Rattus norvegicus: one gene and its partner. The protein of the gene in region 1 interacts with the protein of each later gene in a pairwise test. Links are inferred from orthologs where the notes say so. Each region holds a gene or a part of one and is shown on either strand. Other genes may lie near its edges.

Region 1 (12,419 bases):
GGCTTCCTCGCCTTCCCATCATCCTCTCAACCCTGAGTTCAGAACTGATCTTCTGTTCTTGGGACTCAGAGCTGTAGTGTGCTGCCCTGGCCAACCTTAAACTTGAGATTCTTCTGCCTCTACTGGGGTTACAGGTACCACTACACCTGCTCCGGATCCCGTTTTTTTTTTTTTTTCCGGAGCTGGGGACCGAACCCAGGGCCTAAATCCCCAACCCCCCCATTTTTTAAAAAAATATTTTATGTATGTTTGCCTGCATGTATGTGTGACAATGTATGTGCATTGAGAGGGCTTCGGGTCTCCTGGAACTGAAGCTACCGATGGTTGAGCCGTCAAGTGGGTGCCGAAAAGCAAACCAGGGTCCTCTACAAGAGCAAGCAAGTGCTCTTAACCGCTGAACCATGTCTCCAGGCCCAGAATCCTCTACTTGGATAAACATCAGTGATAGGCTCTTAGGAGCCTCTTCCTCCTCTGACTCAATCCTCGGCCTTTGCTATGGTGTCCATCTATTTGCCTTCCCTGGGTCTGTCCCCATCTGTTACTAAAAAACATTGCTCCTAGGAATCACACCCTACGCACAGTCCCCATGCTACCCAGAGTTCTTTTAGGTATAAGTAGTATGAAGTGGAAAGAAGCCTCCCAGCTCATGTGACTAGAAAACACTGCACACCAGGTACCAGGGTTCCAGTGTACTCAGGCTCTAGCTCCTGCATTGGTTTCCTCCTCAACTTTTAGAGTGGATAAGACGTTTCCAGTCCCCAGCTCTCCTTCTACCAGCATCACTAGCTCAGGGGTGCTGGGGTCTACCCCAACCTTATAGCAGCTAGCACAGCCAGAGTGTGGCACTGACTGACCAGGCCGCATCATGCCTGTCCCTCAATCTGAGAAGTGGAGTCAGCTCCCCACATCTCATGCTGGGGTGGAGGACTCACAGGAGCACTATAATGAAACTGGGAGTAGAAGGAAGGCAGACAGCACCCTTGAAGGTCTATCTCCAGCACCCAGGCATTCTTAAATCATGTCTCAAGTCTTCCCACTGTTCTAACCACTGCCCTAGCCTACCTTCTTCCCTTACATAGCACAGGCACTTTACCTCCTGCTTCACAATTCAGTCTCCGTTAAACTACTGGCTCTTCAATGCTCCCCACAAAACCCCTTTGTCCACCCTCTCCCTTCTTATGCTGGCGTTGGCCACAGGTCCAACCTTCATCTACCCGCTCTGCCATCTCCTTCCTGCCCCTTTACCCCCTCTTCTCTGGAAACCTAAGTTTCTGCCATTTTTAAATCCTTTTTGTTCCAGTGCCGGGGCACCAACCTTTAAACAGGGGGCTAGAGACATGCTCAGCAGTTAAGAGTACTTGCTGCTCTTCCAAAAGATCAGGGTTCAGACTCTTAGGACTCACTAGGTGGCTGGCAACCATCTCTATATAACTCTGGTTCCAGGGGATTCAATGCCCTTTTCTGGCCTCTGTTCATGCCAGGCACACATGCAGTGCACAATGCAGGAAAAACACCCACACATGTAAGACAATCTTCTAAAAGTAAAGGCAAACATACCGTGTGCGTTTTAGACCCTTCTTAGCCCCAGCATGTTCTCAGCTTCCCACTCCCTCACTAAGTGCTGAAGCAGGGGTTCAGAGGCTCTTCCTTCGGGGATACTTGGGCAGCTGTCCTCTCCCTTCTACCAGACCATATGGGTTGCACAGGACCCCGCAGCTCCTGTCTGGTGCCTTCCCCTCCATCCACACACCTGTCTCTAGGCCTCAACTCTCACAAGACCAATCCAGTGTCAAGAGCACCCCAAATTCATCACAGCCAAACTTGAGATCATCAAGCTAAATCTTGTCTTTTCCTCCTGTGTCCCTCAGCTGGAAAGGAGTCCCAAAGAGCAGAAGAAAATGAGAAAAGGTGCAAAGGTGATATCCTCCCTTGGTCCTTTGCAGCTTATCTTCAAGCCTAAGGCCTACCCTGAGTCTCCCCAGACTACAGCCACCATTGTCCGCACCCACACACCTAGCACATTCCCTAAGGGTCTCTGAATGCCTCCATCAGGAAGAAGCTGGTAAGCTTGTTGACAGATGACTTACCATCCCCTCTAGGGCTTTTACACTTGGGAACCCCACATGGCTGCTGCTCCCTGAAGGTGTACCTCTTGCCTTTGGCACACAGGTTGCCCAGGCTGTTCAGATACAGTTGGCAGACTGCTTGGCTCCAAAGATGCTTCGCAGACCCTCTGCTATCTCAGGTACCCGTCTCTTCACTGTGCCGAGCCCGTCACTGCACTGGCTGCAGAACACTATACTTTTCTTTTTTTTTTTTTAAAAAGATTTATTCATGTATTATATATAAGTACACTGTAGCTGTCTTCAGACACACCAGAAGAGGGCATCGGATCCCATTACAGATGGCTGCGAGCCACCATGTGGTTGCTGGGATTTGAACTCAGGACCTCTGGAAGAGCAGTCAGTGCTCTTAACCGCTGAGCCATCTCTCCAGCCCAACACTATACTTTTCAAGGCCCCGTCTCAGTACTGATTCCATCTGTCCCTTCTCAGCAGTCCAGAGAGGGGAAGAAGGTGCCCAAGGTCCCACACAATGAGAGGTCACCCCTTAGCATGTGGCAACTCAGTCCCTAGACCACATTCCTTTCTTCAGTGCCCCAGACTCCTGTCAGACTCCCTGTTTTAACTCAATCACTGGCTGCCCCAACAATGTTCCTTCCTGCTGCCCCCATGTGGGGAGGTGGGGGGATGGGCAATACAGCCACGAAGCCCTGGACACAGGATGAAAAGAAACCAAAATCCTTTTTTTTTTTTAATAAATTTAAGAACAGTTCCATCTTTCTCTTCTCCCCAAAGCAACTAATACTAACTAAAAGAGCATATGGCCAGGGTTAAAGGGCGCTAGGAGTCATAATCCTCTTCGTCCTCTGCCTCAGGTGCTGAGGGGCCGGGAGGTGCTGGGGGTAAAGGCAGAGGAGAGGTGAAGGGCATGAAGGGAGTTGGAGGGCTGCAGGACAGAAAATGGAGAAAATCAGAGCTTGGAACTGTGCTGTGCCCAACCCACAGGCCCACCCCCATTCTCCAGAGACAGAAGCAGGTGTAGTCAAAGCCACCCATTACATCATGGAGACAACCCCCCTAGGAGGGAAGGTCCCAGCAAAGACCATTCTCCAGACTCTCTCCCCGACCCACTACCATGGAGGCAAGGCCTTCTCAGAACAATCTCTTGTGTTTAATAGTGTTCTCTCCCCTCCATTCCCTAAAGTCAGCCGCCGCCACCGCCGCCACCACCACCACCACCACCACCACCAATGGCTAGGGAAGTAAAACTAACTGGCTCTGGGGAGTTTGTTGTGCCTCTTTCTGGTATCCCTGGGGTGCTCACCTCTGAAAGTGGGCAGGGGGGTGACTGGCTTGGGGTGGGGCCTGTGGTGTCTCTTCTTCCCCATCTGTATCTGTGTCCTCAGACTCATCCTGTGAGCACAGCAAGGGTCAGGTTAATGAGAAGGTCTGGGCCCTTCTCTGGGGAGCCCAGAACCCTGGTAAGGCAATGGAGTTAGATACAAAGGCTGTAACAAGGATGAGACCAGGCCTTCCCCACCGGCCTCACTCACCTCCTGTTCTGAGTCTGTCCCGGACAGCTTTTTGTCTTTGCTTTTGCTTCCTGTGCCTCCATTCTTCCTGCCACTGCTGCCTGGTTTCCGGCCCCTTCGGGAAGGTACAGGCCATCTGCACAGAGGACTCTCTCCCCTTCTTCACCCCCCAGCCACCCCCAACCCTTGTGGCCTTGGCCTTTCCCACTTATATACCTGGTTTTGGTTACCCACCTTCGAGGACCCTTGTCCCCATCCGTGTGGTTGTCTTCCCCATCACCCTGCATGTCAGGCACAGATGCCACCAAGTCTTTCAAGAAGTCAAATTGCTGTTCAAGCTCAATGCACTGCTTCCTGTAGAAGTGGGAGAGGAAGGTGTTCAAAAAGGGCCCCCAAAACACTGATGTTCCGGAATCATAGAAACAACCTTTTCGTGTCAGTACAGTGGAACACCCCTCCCCACTTCCACCAGGCCTCCCGGGCGGGCGGCTTGGCTCTGGTTGTTCCCTCCACCTGAAACACCTTATCTCTCCTACATCAGTCCAAACCCACAAAGCTGGCCTCCCTCAGCAGCGCACCACTCCCCCTGTCAGAACACTGCCTCCTCAAAAGCCCAGCTTAGCGGCCACTCACAGGTGGGACGTGGTCATGGTTTTGGCATTTCGAGACTGGGTCACCTGGCAAGCCTTCTTCAACAGAGACTCCAGGAAGAGCTCAAGTGCCCGGGCTGAGGACGTCAAGGAGAATCCAAAAAGGGGAGTGCCGCAGTCCCGCCCCACGCCCCTCAGCCCAGCCAGCCCCTAGTAGGATACAGATGATGACAGGCACAGCTGCCGCCACCTTCCCAATCTCTTCGTCTGTCTGCATGATCTTCTTGATCCGCGCCTGCCGAGGGGAAGGGGACAGAGCTCGTCTCCTGCGTCTCTACAGGGGAGCTGAGTGAACCGGGGGGTATCCCAGGAGAAGAGGGCGGGGGGCACTAAGCCAGGAGGGCATGGAAGGGGCGGGGCGTCAGGCCATGAACACCTAAAAGCACCCGTCCCCCCACCAGCAGGACCTGGGCCCAAGCCTCCCAGGAACCTAGCCTGCAGAGGCCCATCCCGGCCACGTGCTCACCGGCGGAAACCGCGCGTTATACTTCTTCTTCTTGCTTGGCATCTCGGGGCCTCTCACGCTGCGCCGGGCCCAGCGCCGCCGCCCGCAGCCTCCAGGCCCCGGGCCTGTTCGCCGCCAGCCGGCCGCGGTTCCCCCCGGTCCTGGTGCCGCCTACTCCGCCCACACCACTTCTCGCAGGGTCCTAGTGCCGTTCGTAGAAAAGCAGCTCCCAAAACCCAAGCGCTGGGCTTTGGATCCTCTAGGGCGGTGCGCGTCCTTCTCAGGGATCGCCCGCCACGCCCACCCGCCCTCCAAGCTAAAGTACGAACGTTAGCTCCGCCTCCTGAAGACCTGCACCTCCCGGGATTCTCGCGCTGGCTCCGCCCCTGAACTCAGCCCGCCCCTTCCCCTGGAGCCCCCGCCCCTAGCCTTCTGGTTCCGCCTCTGGCCCCGCCCCGTGACTGTGTTTGTCTATAAAGTTGTTGTTGAGGTGGCGGGACCCTAAGATGGCGGCGGCGGCGGCGGCCGTGGCAGGGGCGGGGCGCGGCGGGGGTGGCGGCGCAGACCCCGGGCAGGAACGGAGCCGGGCCCGAAGTTGGGTTGGCGCGGAGCGGAGTGAAGGCCGGAGGTGACTGTGGGGCGACGAGAGGGCAGCCCGGGGGTGGAGGCAACCCTTACCTGTGAACACTAATGGCGGCGGGTGTGGTAAGGCTGGAGCCTGGTCCTCGCGCAGACTCTGTCCTATCAGGTTCGAGTCCGGATGTTGCCCATTGACCCCCAGATGGGCCGCTGTCCTCTCTGGGTCTCAGAGTCTTGGTGTTGATAAGTGTGCCCCAAATAGTTCACCATGGGAGGCCTGGCCCCTCTCCAGCCAGCCTCTGAGATTGGCGAACCTGCGTTTTGCCTACGTCCATTAAATTGCAGCGCCGCGCTACCTGCGAGACTCTAGTCCTGTGGTGTAGCAGAGTCCTGTGCCAGTTAACACTTAAGCTTTAACGGTCTTTACAGACATGACCTTGGGCAAGCCCCTTTTCTCAGAGTTTCAATTTCCTTGTTTTTAAGCAGTGAAAGTAGTACTGACAATAGCGACTCCACCTCAGGCATTTTATTCTAGAGACAAATCTAGACAGGATCAGTTGTTATCCCATTGTGAAGATGAAGCAACTGAGGCACAGACATTAAGACTTGCCCAAGGCCACAGTTAAAAGCAGTGCCTGGCACCCTCTAGGACCCAGTACTTTTTATTTACTGTCTCAAACTTCTGACTCAGTTCCCTCACAACAGGATGGAACCAAATGAAGAGCTGGAAGAGGAGGACTCTCCAGGTGGTCGTGAGGATGGCTTCACTGCTGAGCACCTGGCTGCAGAGGCCATGGCAGCTGACATGGACCCCTGGCTGGTATTTGATGCCCGTACTACACCTGCCACAGAGCTGGATGCCTGGTTGGCCAAGTACCCACCATCTCAAGTTACTCGCTATGGGGACCCAGGTTCACCCAACTCTGAACCTGTGGGCTGGATTGCAGCCTATGGGCAGGGTTACACCCCCAATTCAGGGGATGTACAAGGGCTGCAGGCAGCCTGGGAGGCTCTGCAGACCAGTGGGCGACCCATCACACCAGGTACCCTGCGCCAGCTGGCCATCACCCACCATGTGCTCTCCGGCAAGTGGCTGATTCACCTGGCACCTGGCTTCAAGCTGGACCATGCCTGGGCTGGCATTGCCCGGGCTGTAGTTGAGGGCCGTCTTCAGGTGGCCAAGGTGAGCCCACGGGCCAAGGAGGGTGGGCGCCAGGTCATCTGTGTTTACACGGATGACTTCACGGACCGCTTGGGAGTACTGGAGGCAGATTCTGCCATCCGTGCTGCAGGCATTAAGTGCTTGCTCACTTACAAACCTGATGTCTACACCTACCTGGGCATCTACCGAGCCAATCGCTGGCACCTTTGTCCCACTCTCTATGAGAGCCGTTTCCAGCTTGGAGGCAATGCCCGTGGCTCTCGAGTGCTGGATCGTGCCAACAATGTAGAACTGACCTAATGGGGCCAAGTAGGAGAGACCACCTTTTGCTTCCCAGCTGGGGATGGATCCTTCTTTCTTCTCTTCCTTGTCCCAAGAAGGCTGAGCTCCCTAGCTCTGAGGACTCATTGACTTGGGAACTGCCTGCACTCAGTCCCTTTGAACCTCTGTGCAGGGCCAACTCCAACCTCCACAGGTTTGGGGCTCTGGCTCTCTGAGGGCCAGGCCCTTGGCTGCCTCTTTGATGCTGCTCCCCACCACTGCCCAGGACCACAGCTTGGGTGCAGATACTCAAGAAAGTCTGCCCTGGCCACCTCTGTCCCTACTATACTTAGCCTGCATTCTTCCTTTTCTTTCCTCCCTCAGAAGGGAGAAAACTTAGTGCTTCCAGTCCCTGCCCTTGGAGCCATCATGGCCCAGGTGGCAGGACCCTTACAGGACTCAGCATGCTATTGGGACCCTAACGTGTTCTGGCCAAGAGGAGATGCAGGGTCGGACATGAGGTCTGCTCCTCCCTGCACACTCATAGCCTGCATCACCAATATTCCTTCCCTGGCTCCCTTGACATGTGCCTGCTCCTGGCATTTCAATAAAACCCAGCTTGGGTCTGTGTCTTGAGTGTTTTTTAAAAATACTGTCCTGATGGTTACCTGCATTGTCTCTCGAGAAAGACCAAGCTAGCCTTTTCCTCCCTCAGCAGTGAAGATGGTATGCTGCTTTGCAGAGGCCAGGCTCCACAGCTGAGAACCTCTTTAAAGCTGTTCTCCCTCTGTAACCCATGGATCAAAATCAGTTTCTTAGGTCTTTCCAGGGAGGCCAAGGGGGATATTCTTTTGGTCCCAAGGTATATTTATTTGTCATTTTATTTTATTAAGAAAAGGTCTCTTGGGTTCGGTCCCCAGCTCCGAAAAAAAGAAAAAAGAAAAGAAAAAAAAAAGAAAAAAGAAAAGGTCTCACTGTGTAGCCTCGGCTGGCCTGGAACTTACTATGTACCCTAGGCTGGCCAGTAACTCAGAAATTCATTTGTCTCTGCCTACCAAAAGTTCTGGGTTTAAAATCCTGCACCACCATCTCCAGCTTTTAGGTTTTAAAAAATTCTATTCATAGTGCCTTTAACCCCAACACTTGGGAGGCAGAGGCAGGTGGATCTTTATGAGTTCAAGGCCAGCCTGTTTAACAAGGTGAGTTCCAGGACAGGACAACCAGGGCTACCTACGTAAAAAGACCCTCATTAAAAAAAAATTCATAGCCTTTAATCCCAGCACTTGGGAGGTGGAGGCAGGTGGTTCTCTCTGAGTTCCAGGCTAGACTGGACTATACAATGAGACTCTATCTCAAAAGAGGTATGGGGGTGGGGCTGTCGACTGATTGAGCAATTAAGAGCAAGAATTATTCTTCCAGAGAGACCTTTATTTTGATTCCCACAATTCACATGGTGATTAGTAACAACCTCTGACTCTAGTTCCAGGGGATAAAATGACCTCTTCTGGCCTGTGCAGGCACTGCACACATGCTGCTCTGACATGCATACAGGCAAAACTCCCATTCATGGAAAAATGAATCTTTACAATTGAAAACAATAAAGCATACTTGGGGGTGTATGGAGGTTGTTTCGTCTCACATATTTGGGGGTCAGAGGACCATTAGAAGTCAGTTTCCGGGGGTTGGGGATTTGGCTCAGTGGTAGAGCGCTTGCCTAGGAAGCGCAAGGCCCTGGGTTCGGTCCCCAGCTCCAGAAAAAAAAAAACAAAAAAACAAAAAACAACAAAAAAAAAAAAAAAAAAAGAAGTCAGTTTCCGGGGTTGGGGATTTAGCTCAGTGGTAGAGCGCTTGCCTAGCAAGCGCAAGGCCCTGGGTTTGGTCCCCAGCTCCGGGGGGGAAAAAAAAAAAAAAAGTCAGTTTCCTCCATTGTATGGGAACCGAACATCCAGCAAGCAAGCACCTTTATCATCTGAACCACCTCAGTTGTTCAGACTTTTCCTTTTGTTTTTGTCCTTTTTTTTTTTTTTTTTTTTTTTGGTTCTTTTTTTCGGAGCTGGGGACCGAACCCAGGGCCTTGCGCTTCCTAGGCAAGCGCTCTACCACTGAGCTAAATCCCAACCCCTTGTTTTTGTCTTTTGAGACAGGGTTTCTCTCTGTAGTTCTGACTGGCTTGGAACTCAAGACTTTCGCCTGCCTCTACCTCCTGAGTGCTGGGATTAAAGGTGGGCACCACCACCGATCAGTTTGTCTTTTCATGTTTTCTTTATATGGCTCTGGCTGACCTGGAACTTGTTATGTAAACCAAGTTGGCCTTGGACTCAAGGCCTGACTCTGCCTCCCATGTGTTCATCTTGACTTAATATCCTCTGCTTACACTCTCTGAGTATTAGGGCTGCATGTGTGCACCATCACACCCAAGTTTATATAGTGCTGTCGTGGTTTATACAGGGACCAAGATTAAGCCCAGTGCCTGCTAGGCATTCTGCCAATGTAGCTGCATCCGCAGGCCCTCTCCTACAACTTTGGCCTTTTGAAACAGGGTTTTGTTGTGTAGCACAACTTGAGTTCTGATCTTCCTGCCACGGCTTCTTGAGTGCTGGGATTAACAGGTCTGATCCACCAAGTGTGTTTTGCAGGATTTAGATAAAGGCACTCTCCTTGCAGTTCCAGGTGGTACACATAGATTTCTAAAAAGATATGGGCTGGATTTCAGCATCCAGGGCTGGAGCAACCTAGCCAGTGACCAGCTTGAATATGCATGGACAGTTTTTCCAGAAGCCACTCAACAGTTTATAAAGAACTTTACACATGCCGTCCTCAGTTCTCAGGACCTCTTTAAGGAGATGCTGGCCACATCCTGCTGTCAAGGAACTGCTACCGTGTGGTGGTATAAGCCTTTAATTCCAGAACCAGCAGACAGAAGCAAACGAACCTCTGGGAGTTAGAGGACAGCCTGGTCTACACAGCAAGTTCAATGATAGTCCTAGCTACAAGTCCATCTCAATAAGGGAGGTGGGGGAGGGAAATTGAGGCCAAGAGGAGAAGGGATGATCTGGGTGATGGAGTTGGAGAGTAGAGCTGGGACTTGGCTCTGATCCTTCCCTTCTCAGGCAGTGTGGTCCTTGACCCTTGTTCTTGTCTTGACAAACACAACCCACAGAGCAGGATACTCATGTGATCTTTTCTCTTAGCCATCCTCTTCTCCATGACTGCTAGAGTTTCAAGGGCCCGGCTTGTGCACTGTCCTGTCTCCTCAGACCAGTGCCTTCCCAGGCCTTGGTCAAGGGCCAGAGGTGTTGGCAGAGAACTTGAGATGTTGCTCTCGTGCTGTGCCAGCGCTGAATCAGCCTCCAGCAGCCTCACTGAGTTGGAATTTGGAGCAGAGGAGCGGAGATGCCACTGGGGTGACTGGGTGGAAGTGGCTGAGTCATGAGTGCTAGCTTAACCCCCTCCCCAGCTGCCTCCCTATCCTGAGCCTCCCCAGGATTGAGTCCACCTCAGCCCAAACTTGGGAAATCCCCAGAGCTCAGAGTTGGAGCCAAGTGCCCTGCCTGCCTGATTGTCAGTGCTTTGTACTTGACAAAAGTGGGTCAACTCTCCCTAGGCAGAGGAGTGGCATCCTGGCAAAGCCTTGTGTTCTCACAAAGATGTCTATGTGGTATGGAAAGCCCAGGTTTTCTTTCTTTACAAAGTGACACATCCCTCTTCTGTATTTCTTTGGCCTTGCCTGGCCCCTTGCCCTTTCTCATTTTCTCTCAAACCACAACAACAGCCACTAACTTGGTTCTTCCACCCCACATCTCTGTCCTATCCCATAAGCCAGGTTCACAGATTCTACCATAGAGATGCCCACATTCCTGTCCTATTGGGATTCTACAGCAACTAAAAACAAGGTCTACTGTCCTGGGCTGGCATTGACCATGCCCCCAATAGCTTTCTCTGCTGTCCTTAGGCACATCTTCCTGTCTCTGCACCCAACTGAAGCCAACTGGAACATCTTTTTCCACCTTGGCATGGAGCCTCGGGCCTCAGGCTTTCTTTGTCCTTGAACACCTGCTGTGTGGTACCAATCACAGAATCTGCTGTTACTTAGCAATTGCCACTGGTCCCCAAACTACTGAGCCACAGACCCAGATTGTACTCTACTAAGGCAGGAGCACTGTCTACATTTCATCTCCCAGTGTAGAATAACGGCTTCAGAGATTATTAAACGAAAGAATTGCCTCAGATCCAGATACTGTGAATCCCACCTGTTGGATCTCTCCACTGTATCTTTCTTTGTTCATCTTTGCTCTAGAACACAGCTCTCCTGCCCATGTTCTGTCTTTTCCCACTTCAATGCCCTTGTTGATGGGTAGCCTCTGTTGGCATGCCCGACACCATCACCGCTAACTAATGGTACATCTCAGACCCACTAGTTCTCTAACCATGTGGCTCTCCCATGGGTGCCCTTCAACTATATGTCTGGAGACTCTTAGGGACAATAACTGGTTTATCCTCAGGGCACCTTCAGCATCCAGGTCAGAGTCAAGCTTGGTGCAATCACCAAATAACATTCTTGAATCCAAGGTGATTGTATGGAAGCCATACATTATCTAAGCTCCATTTAGTTCTTTTATTTTTAAATTATTTTATATGTATGGATGTTGTTCCTTTGACTATGCCTGTGTGCCACATGCGTTCTTATCCAGGGAAGTCAGAAGAGGATGTTGGATTCCCTACACTAGAGTTACACATGGTTTTGATCTGCATGTGGATGCTTGGAACCAAACTCGCCTCCTCTGGAACAGCCAGTGCTTAACTCCTGTGTGCCTTCTCTCCAGCCTCTAGCTCTGGTATTCTTACCATTTTTGCAGAAAGGGAAACAGAGTTCCAGAGAATTCCAGTTAATTGTCTCAAGGTTGCACAGCAAGCATATGGCAGAGCCAAGATTTGAACTCAGATCATTCAACTCTAGAGTACCTACTACATGGTTAAGTCTTGCTACTGAATGTGCTCTGAGGGTAGGGGTGCTACAAGAAGAAATATTGCCCTGCAAGGATATAAGATTCACTTGGGAAGTACACAAGGTAGGTTCTCAGAATTACTTGGAAGATAGGCTGGGCCCAAACACAGATTCCTTCGACAAGCTAAGGGTTTCCCAAAACCCTGGCTAGCAGGGCTTCTCTTGCATAGCTAGTTCCTGCCTACATGGAATTATGGAAACACTGGGTTGTGTAGGGGCTGGCCAAACTTGGGCAAGCCCCTCTGTCTGCTCCATTAATAAAACAGAGAGCTATGACTGAGGCTTGAGAGACAGAAAGACATACCCTGCTATGCATTCCTCAAACCCCTGGGACAAAGGGATATTCTAGGAGGGGGAGATTCTATTTGACCCCCAACTCCAGCTAGGACCTGGGGCAGAATTCGGGAATACAGGAAACAGCTGAATTGGGAGATGCTTCAACCAAAGCTTTGGCAGGATTTGGGGGATTTTCCTAGTAGGCCAGCTGCACCCCGCTCCTGCTGACTGGGAGGGGCCTTGGCAGGGATGAAGATTGGGTCACACGGCTGATTCACTGAGGAGGGAAACTCCCCACTTCTGTGACGTACATGCCCTAGGCACTGAAGGGTAAAGCTAAGGGCACTAGTCTGACAAACACTTTACCTGGTGTTTCTTTGGCCACTGGCCTCCTAGGAGGGTATAGGAAACCTGAGGTTGGGCAGGATGAGAAGGCAGGGGGCAGG
Region 2 (12,527 bases), on another chromosome or scaffold:
CAGCCCCTCTCCTGCAAGCTCAAGCCTACATTCTCAGACTCCTGGCTCTACCACACATGTCACCAAGCCATGGCTCTGTCCAATAACCTAGTGGTCGAACTAAGAGCAGCCTAGACATTCATGACACAAAAGAAATGTTTCAAATTATAATCCAGGAACTCTAACTTTCAGCTGCCAAGTGTGACCCAAATCCTTTAGGCTGTCAAGTTTTTCACCCCAACCAAATGGTGAACTGTCTGGAGGTCAGAGCAAGATCATGGAAGGCCAAGCCCCATACATGCCCTCTAGCAAGAATCTGGAAAAAAACAAAAAACAAAACAAAAAAAAAACCCAAAAAGCCCAAAAAAAACCCCAAAAAACAAACAAAACAAAAAATAAAAAACCAAACCACTACAGACAGAAATCCTCTACATCGTTAGGAACCTGAGTTCAATTTTGTAGACCAGGGAATCAGACTCAAAGACATGGAGGTTTCAACCAGACCAGAGGAGGAGTGACTAAGAAGAAACCATCAGATCCAGCACTCAGTGAAGGGCCTGTCTAACAAGCTTGAAGTCATGGATGCTGCCCTGAGTACCACACGCATCCAAAGAAACCAATGAAAGAAGCAGAGATTAGTGGAGGCTGGATACAGTCAAGTAAATGAAACAGAATCAAATTGGCCCAACTGTCCTGGTGGCACAGGCCTGGGATCCCAGTCACAGACACAGAATCTCAAATGAAGCCAGCCCCAGCAAGACTGTCAACAAAATAACCCAAAGTTAAAAGAAAAAAAAAAAAAGGTGTGTGTGTGTGTGTGAGAAGGATATATCTCGGCAATAGAGTATTTGTGCAATATGGACAAATCCCTAGGCTCCACCATGTCTATAATCTTAGTATTAAAGGCACACAAGCGGTAGACAGGAGCATCAGGAGTTCAAGGTCATCCTTGGTTAGGTGGGTAAATATGGAGACTCAGTCTCATAATTAAGTATGCCACGTGTGTTGGCACACCCCGTTATCCCCAGCACCGATGAGGCAGAGACAGGCAGATGGGAGTTCAGATTTTTGTGTGTTCATAACAGCTGGGTCTATATAGTGAGCTCACTAGTCTTCATTTATTTTTGGTGATTCATATAAACCACACACACACACACACACACACACACACACACACACACACACACACACACACTTCTAAGAAGACTGGGTGTGCTGAGCACACAGTGGTGGCACACACAGAGAGGCAGGTGGACCTCTGAGGCCAGAGTAGACAACAGCCAAGGCTACATAGAGAAACCCAGACTCACAAAACAAAAGGACTGGGTACATTAGCACCCACCTCCTATCCCAGTCAGGGCTACACATCACAAAAAGCCAACAAATACAACTCTCACCTTTCTTCCTGCCTTCCCTCCCTTCTGACTAGCCCTGCATAGGTTCTGATGATCCCCAACACTCCACACTTAGCTAAACCTTACAGCCTACACTCATCCTGAAGCTGGGGTTGCACACATACACAGAACCCAATGTAGATGATGCCCACCCTACCATGCAGCTGGGGGTTCGGGGGTGGGGGTGGGGTGGAGAGGAAGTTCGGATTATGCCACTCCTGCAACTGGAGTGCTTGAGGTTGGAGCAGGGTGATCAGAAGTTCAAGGTCATGCTCATGCCTAGGTTACATACCGATCTCAGGCGAATCATTTTAAGAGGGGGTTGGGGGGGCTGGGGATTTAGCTCAGTGGTAGAGCGCTTACCTAGGAAGCACAAGGCCCTGGGTTCAGTCCCCAGCTCCGAAAAAAAGAACCCCCCCCCCCAAAAAAAAAAAAAAAAAAAAAGAGGGGGTTGGGGAGGAGAAAGACTTGTCTATCAACAAGAGTAGGACCACCTCCCATTACTGATGGGCTGGAAACCTTGATACTAGACTGACTTCAGACATCATTGCATTTAGGGGACATTGTGTAAAGAGGCGTGTCAGCATCTGCAATTACAGACTGTTACTAAATTTCAAAATCCCAAACGCATCTGGGATGGTGAGTCAAACCTTTAATCCAAGCACCAGGGAGGCAGAGGCAGGATCTGTCCGAGTTTGAGGTCTGTATCTACATAGTGAGTTTCAGAGCAGCCAAGGCCACACAGAGAAACTCTCAAAACAAAAAACAAAACCAAACAACACATTAACAACAAAAATCAACCAAATATATGTTCCATAGGAATACCCTGGGAAGAATCCATTCAGCTTACAGGAGTGTTCTGAATGCTAGCACTGAGAGGCCTGAGAACAGCCTCCTGGATGTCCTTCCTCAGGTGTCAACCACAGCAGCACACTCAAGATGACAGCCTGGTGCCTCTTTACTGTTTCTGAGACAAGTCCACACATCTTAGGCTGGCTTCTAGCTATTAGCTACATGGCAGAGGCCCTTGAGTTTCTGACACTTCTGCCCCTCCATCCCAAGTGCTGGGATTAGACACACACACCAGGTGATTTACCTGGTGCTGGGGATGGAACCTGGGCTTCATACATGCCAGGTGCACTCCTAAATGAGCTGCACCCCCAGCTCCCACACAAAAATTCCTTATCAGTTATTTGTAACTACTCATTTATGTCACTGATAATTACACTAATTATAAAGAAAATTCAAGGCCGGTGATGGAGCAGCTGGCTAAGAGCATTTGTTGCTCTTGCAGAGAACCAGGGCTCCATTTCAGCATCCACAGCTATCATAATGGGGTTCCAGGGAATTGAACACTTTCTTCTGATCTGACACCAGCACATGCACACACAGACAAGTCATTCCTAACACATAATCAATCTAGTGAGGCCCTGGGAAGGCAGAGCCATGCAGTATCTGTGAACTGTGTCTGTCTGTCTCAAGATGGCCATGGCCACAGAATGAGATCCTGTCAAGAAAGTAAAGCCTCCTGGAGACCAGGCTGGCTTCAAACTTAAGAGAGCTCCACCTGCCTATGCCTCCCAAGCGCTGGGTTTAAAGGCATTTGCCACTTCCACCATGCCCAGCCAAGAAATTACATTTTTCCCTCTAGTCCTTATTGTCTGTTTTGGAGCCAGAGTCTAACCATGTTGTCCAAAGTCATCCTTTTAGTTCAGAATACAGAGCAGGGGTTGGGGATTTAGCTCAGTGGTAGAGTGCTTGCCTAGGAAGCACAAGGCCCTGGGTTCGGTCCCCAGCTCCGGGAAAAAAAAAAAAAAAAAAAAGAATACAGAGCAGCTAGGATAGACAACTCATGTCACCACATCAAGCCCAGGAATAAATACTTCAATTCGTACTTTCAACAATTTCTAGCAGACACATTTTCAACAATCTCAGTCCTTGAGACTGACATTCGTTCCATCTAATTCTCCTGCTTGATGGCTTCCAATTAGGCGCCCAGAAGCCTTTGTTGCAAATGTAAAATGTTACGAAAATGTTTCAAATGTAAAACCATTTCTTGCATTTTATATGGTTAATGACCAACAAAACCAGAAACTCTGGGCTGGAGAGCTGAGAGGGTTATGAGCACCTCTTCCAGAGGACCTGGGTTTGATTCCAAGCAGTCACATTTGTCTGTGGTTTCAGCTGTAAGGGATCTGGTATCTTCTTTCTGGCCACTGTATGTACAAACATGATGCAGAGACATACACTTTCACAAGAATACTCAACATACATGAAATTAAAAACCCAGACCCAGGGGTTGGGGATTTAGCTCAGTGGTAGAGTGCTTGCCTAGCAAGCGCAAGGCCCTGGTTTGGTCCCCAGCTCCAAAAAAAACAAAAAACAAAAAAAACAAAACAAAACAAAAAAAAAAAAAAAACCCAGACCCAAACAACAAAATTGGGAGTTCCCAAAAGACAATTTAGGAGCCAGCCTGATGGTGCGCACCCACCATTCCTGGAAGCATGGCAGCACTGAAGAGCAAGAGGTAAGCCAGGGATCCACAGAACAAGACCAACCTGGATGTATTGTTGCCCACCTCTAATGTTAGCGCTGCTCCAGGAACAGGACTAAAAATACTGTCTCAAAAAACAAAACAAACAACCCCATAAAACAAAGTCCATTTAAGAGTCAGTACAATCAACTCCCGAGGATTTGGAACTGTGTTTTGATTTGCTTGAGAACAATGCAGTTCCTGGCCCTTGGTCCAGGCTGAGGATGGATCCGCACATGGGTAGGCTTGAGGAGAAAGCCAAGTTCTTAGTCCTCACTTCCTGACAACTGCAGGACCACAACACATCTACAAAACAGGTTTGTGTCCTTCCAGAGAGGCATGTGACTAGAATCCCAGAAATTGGGAGGACAGAGACTGAGGCAAGAGCTCTGGAACATTGTAAAAAGTTTGAAGCCAACTAGGCCACACAATGAGATGATCTTGAGGCTTTAATAAAAGCTTTTGGAGAGGGGTTGGGGATTTAGCTCAGTGGTAGAGTGCTTGCCTAGGAAGCGCAAGGCCCTGGGTTCGGTCCCCAGCTCCGGGGGGTGGGGGGGGAGCTTTTGGAGAATATATAACTCCGAAAGCCAGGCTTAGGCCATAGCTATCGCCTCATGCTCTGGACCAGAGGAGAGGACCTCACACAAATGATTAAGAAGGGCCTCCCAGGGCTGGAGAGATGGCTCAGCCGTTAAAGGCTCACAACCAAAAATATAAGAAGGGCCTCCCAATATGTGCTGAGGCACCTATAAGGTTTAAGTGCTGCACAGCACAAATATAACTGCTGATAGAACATTACTAACACAGCAATTTAAAGATCAAAGATATCTAGTCACCTCTTCTACCATCCTGTACATCTCAGAGTGGAGAACAGGCCCTGGTTCAATATTCAGTTGAGCAGGTGAGGGGAACAAAGGGCTACAAAACAAAAAATCCATGCAAAACAAGCCAGCAGAAGCGGATCTGCTCTTCTGTAAGACATAAAATACTCAGTAATAATCTTGTTTTCACTTGGAATCCTCCTGCCTCAGGCTCCAGAGAGACCATCTCAAAAAACAAACATCAGACATCCCCTCACACACAAGACAAAGAGAAAGGGAGCACCTGTGTGCTGAGCCTGTAACCAAGCACCGAAAGGCAGACAGAGTTAGTTCAAAGTCATCCTACCTAGTGAGTGTACCACAAGCTAGGCTACAAGAGACCCTACCTAAAACAGAACAGAAGAGGGGGCTGTGCACAGGGGGCACCGAGGAGGCAGGGGCAGGAGTATCTGAGTTCCCAGCCTGGTCTACACAGCAAGTTCCAAGACAGGCAGGATTATAAAGAAACTGAGATGGCGCAGCTCTTACCAAGAGCATCAGCTGTTCTACCAAAGTACCTAAGGGTGGTTCACAACTCATCCCAGACATGCCTCTTTAGACACCAGGAAAGGAGACACATGTGGGCAAAAGCCTCCTATCAATAAATGAGTGAGCAGTACAAAGTCACTGAGAAACGTACTTCCAAGTGACAAGAAGCCAGCCAAAGGGCCTGGTACAGTGGTGCAGGCCTTTAAATCCAGTGCTTGAAGGTAGAGGCAGGCAAATCTGTTTTTCAAGGTCAGCCAGGGCTACCTACATAGTGAGATCCTATCCCCAAAAGAGAAACAGAACAAAGCCAGCTTGAAAATTTCAGTTCAAAGAGGTGTTAATAAGTAAAGGGACTTTCAAAACAGCTTTAAGGGATGCTTTAAGAGTGTTAAGACTCTCAAATTAGCTTTGAGAGAACATCTGAGAGGATGGCTAACATTTTCATCTGCCTGTAAGTATTTCAAATGAGTTGCATTTTGAGAGATTTGAATTTGTTTACTTCTGATGTTTTAAAATTATTCAAACGTCTCAACTGTGGCACGTGCTAAGTCAAAGGCAGTTTTCTTCCCCTTTGAGATTTAAAACTTGAGTTTCTCATGCCCCAACCTCTATAGCACTAGGATCTGGGGAGGAAAAAAGAACCCTTGAGTACATTTACTTTTTTCAAACTAGTAGAGAAAAACCAAACCAAACCCAACCCAACCCAAACTGAACAAGATGGCTCAGGCCTCTAATCCCACCACTGGGAAGGCAGAGGTGGGTTCAGCTCCAGGCCAGCCTGATCTACATGGTGTGTTCTAAGTTGGCCAGAATTACATACCCACTAAAGACCCTATCTTAAAAAAAAAAAAAAATTCCAACAGCAAGTTAGTACAAACCTATACCTAGAAAGCTATCCCCAAGGGCATTCATGGTAACACTTCACCTAACACCTATTTGTATTTTTATTAGCAAATAAAATGTGTGGCTCCACCTTACCCTGAACTTCTTCCTTAAGGAAGCATGAATAGTACCCAGTACACTACTGCAACCAAACAAGACGGTGACTCATTTTCAACCCCGGGTATTTAATGATGATCATTCTTCACCTAACAAAAGACACTTTGGGGGCAGCCACTTTGGAAACCTAACACCTCAGTAAAACTACAGGGATATTCTCTGGGCAAGTCACCTTTTCTGTAAAAAGGATAAAGGCCAAGTGTGTCCTTGAGAAATAAGACGCTTAAACTGACTGTCCCATAAAACTCCTATAAGCGTCTTTCTTTTCTTGAAGCAAGTGGCTGCCGCTTGTTTATTTCTATTGTTTGGCAGGAGACCGAACCCAAGACTTAGGACATGCTAGACAATCGCTCTATCACTGAGCCACAACCCCAGCTGGTAACGTGTTATTTAAAAGTGAACAAAATACCCGACGCTGGTTTTTTGGAATTATGCACCAAGAGCTTTCTATTCATCAGTAAAGGATTGGGGGAGGTTGGAGGATTGGTTTTAAAGTATGTTGTCTGTATCTGACCAGAATCAGAACGAAGCGAAAGCGATTCTCCAGGTCAGGGAAGAAACTAGGAAGAAATCAACAATTTCCGCCAGCAGACACGTAGTATCTGTCAATAAGGCATTCTAAACGCCAAGGAGGCTGAGAGAAAGAGACACGCACACTCCCCACTACGGTGTATTTGTTTTGGTTGAGGTCCGCGCTCCCTGTCTCTCTCGGTGGATCCGACGGTCCCAGGATCCAGACGCCAATTGGAAGGGAAATCACCCCTCTCGCGGCCCGCGGGCTTCACGTAGAAGCAACCCAGGGGCCCGGCCGAGCAGCAGGGACCCTGGAGAGGGACAGGCCGCCGCCGCCCGCTTCCGTGCTGCAGCCCAGCCCGGAGCGCGCTGAGGATAAAGCTGGACGCGGGCGCTGGTTTCCCCGGGAAACCCTCCGGCGTCGCTGCGGTCTAACTTTCGGAGCGAGGCCTCGCAATGTGCGGCGCGGAGCCGAGGGAGGGATGTGCGCCGCGAGCAAGCTAGAGCCCGGCAGCCTAACCGTCGCCAGCCGCTCCCGGAGCGCGCCATTTCCAGGCCTCTCCTCGGGCCTGGTCAGGCCGCTTCCCGCCGCCCGTCTCGAGTGAGCGCGGCAAGGCCGTCCCCTTCGAACCTCCCGGCACTCCGCCCGGCGGAGCCGCCAGCCTGCCAAACCGCGCCCCGCCCGCCTCACCCTCTACCGCCGCCGAAGCTGCTGTAGGCCCGATCGTCGTAGGTATCGAAGTCCGCCATTTGCCGTCTCCGCTCCTTGAGGAACCAGCGGGCCAGCGAGGAAGGACCCCGCAATATAACTCCTCCTCCCCCCTCCCGCCCCGCTACCGGGGCTGTCCGCCGCGCTGCCTGATCGCAAATCGCACGCACGCATGCGCGCGCCGCCGCGCCCGGCCTTGGGCCGACGGGGCCCGCTGCTGGCCCCGGCGCGCTCTGCGGCCCACGTGGTGGGGCGGCCAGCCCCCGGAGCGCCGCGCGCACGCTCTGCCCTCCGAGGCCCATTGTGTGCTAGCTTGAAGGTTTCACGCGTGGTTGCCTCTTACTGTCCTTGCCCCGCCCTGTCCTGTGGTCACCTACCTCTCTGGCATTGTCTGTCACCCTGCACGCTGCTTTCTAATGATCACTAGATTCAGTTTGGGTTTTGTGGAGCCCATGCTGGGCCGGAGCTGGAGCGCTGGAGCTGAGGATGACCTTGAACCCCTGGTTTTTTGCTCTCTCCACTTCCCAAGGGCTAGGATGATAGTGTGCCATTATGTTGGGCTCTCTGGTATCACCTTAGATTTATTAAGGTGCTCTAGGTCTGCCCCACTTGGTCCCACTTGGACACAGTTCTTCAGGACAAATGTCGCTGGGTAAAGCTTAAACGAAGACAACGTGTTCTAGGTAGAGATCCCTAGATGACCAAGGGCAGAAGAAGGCTTGTAAGTGAAAATGTGTGTTTGTGTGTGTGTGTGTGTGTGTACAAGATGAGATGAAGGGAAATATCTTTGTTTTTTAGAACTGCTACAAACTGGACATGGTGGTAATCCCTATTCTAGGGAGACCCAGACTAGTAGATCAAGACTGTAATTAGAGGTCAATCTGGCCAAAATAATGATGGTGCACACCTTTAGTTCCTGTATTGAGGAGGCAGAGACAAGTGGATCTCTGAGTTCAAGGCCACCTTGATCACATACGGAATTTCAAGCCAGCCAGGGCTATGTGGAAAGATCCTGTCTCACAAAACCAAAATAAAATAAATTTTAAAGACAAAACAAATTGTATTCTTTGTCTGGGTATTGGGGAGGGGTGGTGAAGATGAGGATATAGACTGTTTGCAGTTGAATGAATAAGAGATTAGATACGTTTTATTTTTGCAGAAGTCTCTGTTCTGAAACTTTGAAGGTGTTCAGGGCAGCTCAGGGAGTGAGGATGTGTGATCCCCCGATTCACATGGTGGCAGGAGAGAACTGACTCCAAGTTGTCTTCCGACCTCAACACAAGAACTGGGGTGTGATCTCTCTCTTCATGTTTTGCTTGCACTGTCTTTTACATTTATAGCACACACACACACACACACACACAGAGACACACACACACACACACACACACACACACACACACACGCTAGTAAGGACTAGGTATTTAGACCCTATCTCAAAAAAAAAAAAAAAATCAACCAAGGTGGACAGCTCCAGAGAAATGACTCCTAACCCACGCAGTGTTAGCAACGGCCTTTAATCCCAGCATTCTAGAGGCAGAGGTAGGTGGATCTATGAGTCTGAGGCCAGCCTCCTCTACAGAGTGAGTTCCAGGACAGCCAGGGATACAAAGAAACATTGTCTTGAAAAACCAAGGAGAAGGAGAACCTCTGAATGTTAACAAAACAAAACCCAGAGGCTGGAGAGGTTAAGAACATTGTCTACTGGGTTTGAGGATTTAGCTCAGTGATAGAGCGCTTGCCTAGCAAGCGCAAGGCCCTGGGTTCGGTCCTCGGCTCCAGAAAAAAAAAAAAAAAACCTTAAAAAAAAGAACATTGTCTACTGTTCCAGAGGACTTCATTCCAATTCCTAGCACCCACCCAATCCCATTGCAGCCCCAAATGGTAACTCAGCTTCAGGGGGATCTGACAACCTCTTCTAGCCTCAGAGTATCAGGCACACATGAGGTACACAGACATACATGCAAGGAAGACATCCACACATACAAAATAAAATAACCACAAGAAGCCCAGCCACGGGCTGGAGGAATGGCTCAGCGGTTACGAGCACTGACTGCTCTTCCGGAGGTCCTGAGTTCAATTCCCAGCATCCACATGGTGACTCACAACCATCTGTAAAGAGATCTGATGCCCTCTTCTGGTGTGTCTGAAGACAGCTACAGTGTACTTAAAATAAATAAATAAATAATAATCAAAAAGCCCATCGAGAATCCTGATTTGCATTGCATCTTCTCAAAGTAGCAAGGATGGCCACCACGTGAGAATAAGTGATTCTAGGGCTTTCTGGGGTTTCTGATGGAGATTAAAATATTTTGGAGTGTTCCAAGGTATAGTAGTTGCAATTTAAAAGAACCCTGTAGGGTTAGGGATTTAGCTCAGTGGTAGAGTGCTTGCCTAGCAAGTGCAAGGCCCTGGGTTCGGTACCCAGCTCCGAAAAAAAAAAAAAAGAAAAAGAAAAAAGAAAAAAGAACCCTGTAGAAATCAAGGGTGGCATTAGGTTATCAATCAGGAGACTCGAAGGGCAATTGGTTTAGGTTTGAGGCCAGCCCGGACTACAGATTGAATTCCAGTCAGCCTGGGCTACAAAGGGAGCCCTGTCTTACCAAACTGAGGTAGATAAAGTAACAATTATAAATACCACGTGGATTTAATTTTCTGCATATAATTGCTTAGCGTACGGGGTAGGGCACTGGAGGGTAGCGCAGGTGTTCTGCTGGGGAGTAAACGCCTTGCAAGGCGCAGGAGCGGATTTTCTCTTTTTCCCATTTGGGACCCTGGGATCTGACTCAAGTCCCTTTGTACACTGAGCCATTCTGCTTGCCCTCAGAGAATTTTCTTTTCAAAGCCGTCAGTATTGAGTGTTGAACCAAGAACCTTAGACTTTGGGAACATTCTAGCCCGGAGGCACATCTTCAGGCTTTTATTGTCTTCTGCTGTTTTTATTGTTTGCTTGTTTGGACCTAGGGATGTAGACCTGGATTTTTTTGGGGGAAGAATTAGTTTTCAGAACAGGGTTTCTCTGTGTAGTCCTGGCTGTCCTGGAATTCACTCTAGACCAGGCTGGACTCAAATTCAGAGATCCATTTGCCTCTGCCTCCAGAGTGCTGGGATTAAAGGCATGCAGCCCCATTTCTGACTATTTATCTAATAAATTAATCCATTTATTGTGTGTGAGGGGAAGTAGTGCACATGTCAAAGTGTATGTATGGTTAGAGAACAATTTTCAGAACTCGGTTTTTTCTTCTTGTGGTATGGACCCTGGGGACTGAACTCAGGTCAGGCTTGGTGACAAGTGCTTTTCCCTGCTGAGACATCTTATTGGTCTTTGCTTCTAGTGTTGCTTGGTTTGTTTGTTTTGATACAGGGTTCTGTGTAGCCCTTGCTGACCTGAAACTCACTCTGTAGACCAGACTGGCCTCGAAGTTGAGATCTGCCTGCCGGCCTCCACCTCTGGAGTGCTGGGATTAACAGATTAACAGCATACAGCCTACACCACCACTGCCTGGCTTATTGTCTTAATGTTTTTTAAAAAATTACAATTTTTATTAGTTTTTAAAATTTACTGGTACATGTGTGTGTGTGTGGAGAGAGGGAGAGAGAGAGAGGGAGGGAACACAGAACAAGTCTGTCCTTTCACACTACAGAGTCAGGATCGATCTCTCTCTCTCTCTCTCTCTCTCTCTCTCTCTCTCTCTCGCTGTTGCAAAGGCCTTCTCTACCTCTCGTCTTACCACAACGATGCTGGGATTACAGATTCGTGACACCTGCCATGTTACACGGATTCCAGGGATGGAACCCGGGTCATCCATCAGGTTTGGTGGAAAGCACCATTACCCAGTGAGTCATGTCTCGGGCCCTCAGGTATAGTTTGCTTGTCAGTTGTTGTCTGGTGAAGCTAGCTACTCTAATCATTCACTGCACAGTGATGGGCCTGCCCACACTGAACCATGTAGCTGATTCCCAATGGTCCTATAGGCTTAGAACAAAGCCTGAAAAACTCCTATCACCTGAGGATGCTGTCCCTATGGTAACCGAACTCATGCCTCCTGTTTGTGGAGAGGCTGTAAGTGAACCAACCACGGTTCAAAAACCAAAGTGCTGTGTGTGGGGCTAGGATGTGGCTTGTTAGAGTGCTGATCTAGCATGCTAGGAGCCTTAGTGAGGTAGGACCATCTGAACTTGGAGATGTGGGCTATGTGTCAAAGAAAACAGTGTAACAAACTACTCTCGGATACATAGTAGCTCACAGATGAAGCCAAACTCCTGTCATTGGTCATTGTGTAGCTATTGCCTCTGAACTGAGGGAGGAAGAGAGGGGAGGAAGCCTTCGAAGATTCCCGGAAGCTCCTGAAACTTAGAACTTTTGCAAGCCCGCCCCACTGGCCAGATTATGTTCAGTTGCAACAGCAGTCGCAATTGCTAGGGAGAGAAGATTCTGGACAAGGTGAGCTGCCTGCGGGTTTTTCAGGAAGCTTCCATGATGTAGCTTTTGTGAGTCATCCATGCAGAGGAGGGAGTGACTTTTTGGTGATAGGCTGCCTTTGAGTCCCCTATGATCCATTAAGTAACCCTTCACTATAGCCAGTATTCTTGTTAACTTTATTTATTTATTTATTTATTTATTTATTTATTTATTTATTTTGGAGCTGAGGACCGAACCCAGGGCCTTGTGCTCGCTAGGCAAGTGCTCTACCACTGAGCTAAATCCCCAGCCCCCTTTATTTTCTTTTTTTATGTGTATGGGTATTTTGCCTGCATGGTACGTCTGTGTGTCATGTGGGTACAGTGACCTCAGAGGCCAGAAGAGGGTGTTGGATGCGTTGGGACTGGAGTTACAGATGGTGGTGAGCTGCCATGGGCTCCTCTGGAAGAGCAGTCAGTGATTTTAACTGCCGAGCTATCTCTCCAGCTCCCTTCTTCAGCATTTTAAAACTTTCAGTAAAATTTGTTTGTGTATGGGAGAGGGGCAGATGCAAAGGTCAGACAAGGTCCCTCTGTCCTGCTCTGTCACTTTCTGGCTCATTCTCTCTCCTTTTTTTTCTTTTTTTTTT

What was found.
Region 2: the proteins of Bles03 (region 1) and Eif4h interact in binary tests that used the Homo sapiens proteins (3 or more experiments, as listed by UniProt). The two-hybrid records come from large-scale screens. The link is inferred for Rattus norvegicus from reciprocal best matches to the Homo sapiens genes C11orf68 and EIF4H.

What each region holds. Positions count from the first base shown.
Region 1 is NC_086019.1:212,158,805-212,171,223, forward strand, and holds Bles03 (UPF0696 protein C11orf68 homolog), read left to right. Parts: upstream 1-5,087; 5' UTR 5,088-5,196; coding exon 5,197-5,318; intron 5,319-5,960; coding exon of another isoform or gene 5,961-5,974; coding exon 5,975-6,731; 3' UTR 6,732-7,342; downstream 7,343-12,419. Other genes in the region: Drap1 (dr1-associated corepressor), read right to left, coding at 2,904-3,009, 3,388-3,476, 3,617-3,731, 3,830-3,949, 4,229-4,322, 4,408-4,480, 4,712-4,753.
Region 2 is NC_086030.1:27,714,720-27,727,246, reverse strand, and holds the start of Eif4h (eukaryotic translation initiation factor 4H), read right to left. Parts: upstream 7,556-12,527; 5' UTR 7,518-7,555; coding exon 7,459-7,517; intron 1-7,458. UniProt on the Homo sapiens protein: Stimulates the RNA helicase activity of EIF4A in the translation initiation complex. Binds weakly mRNA.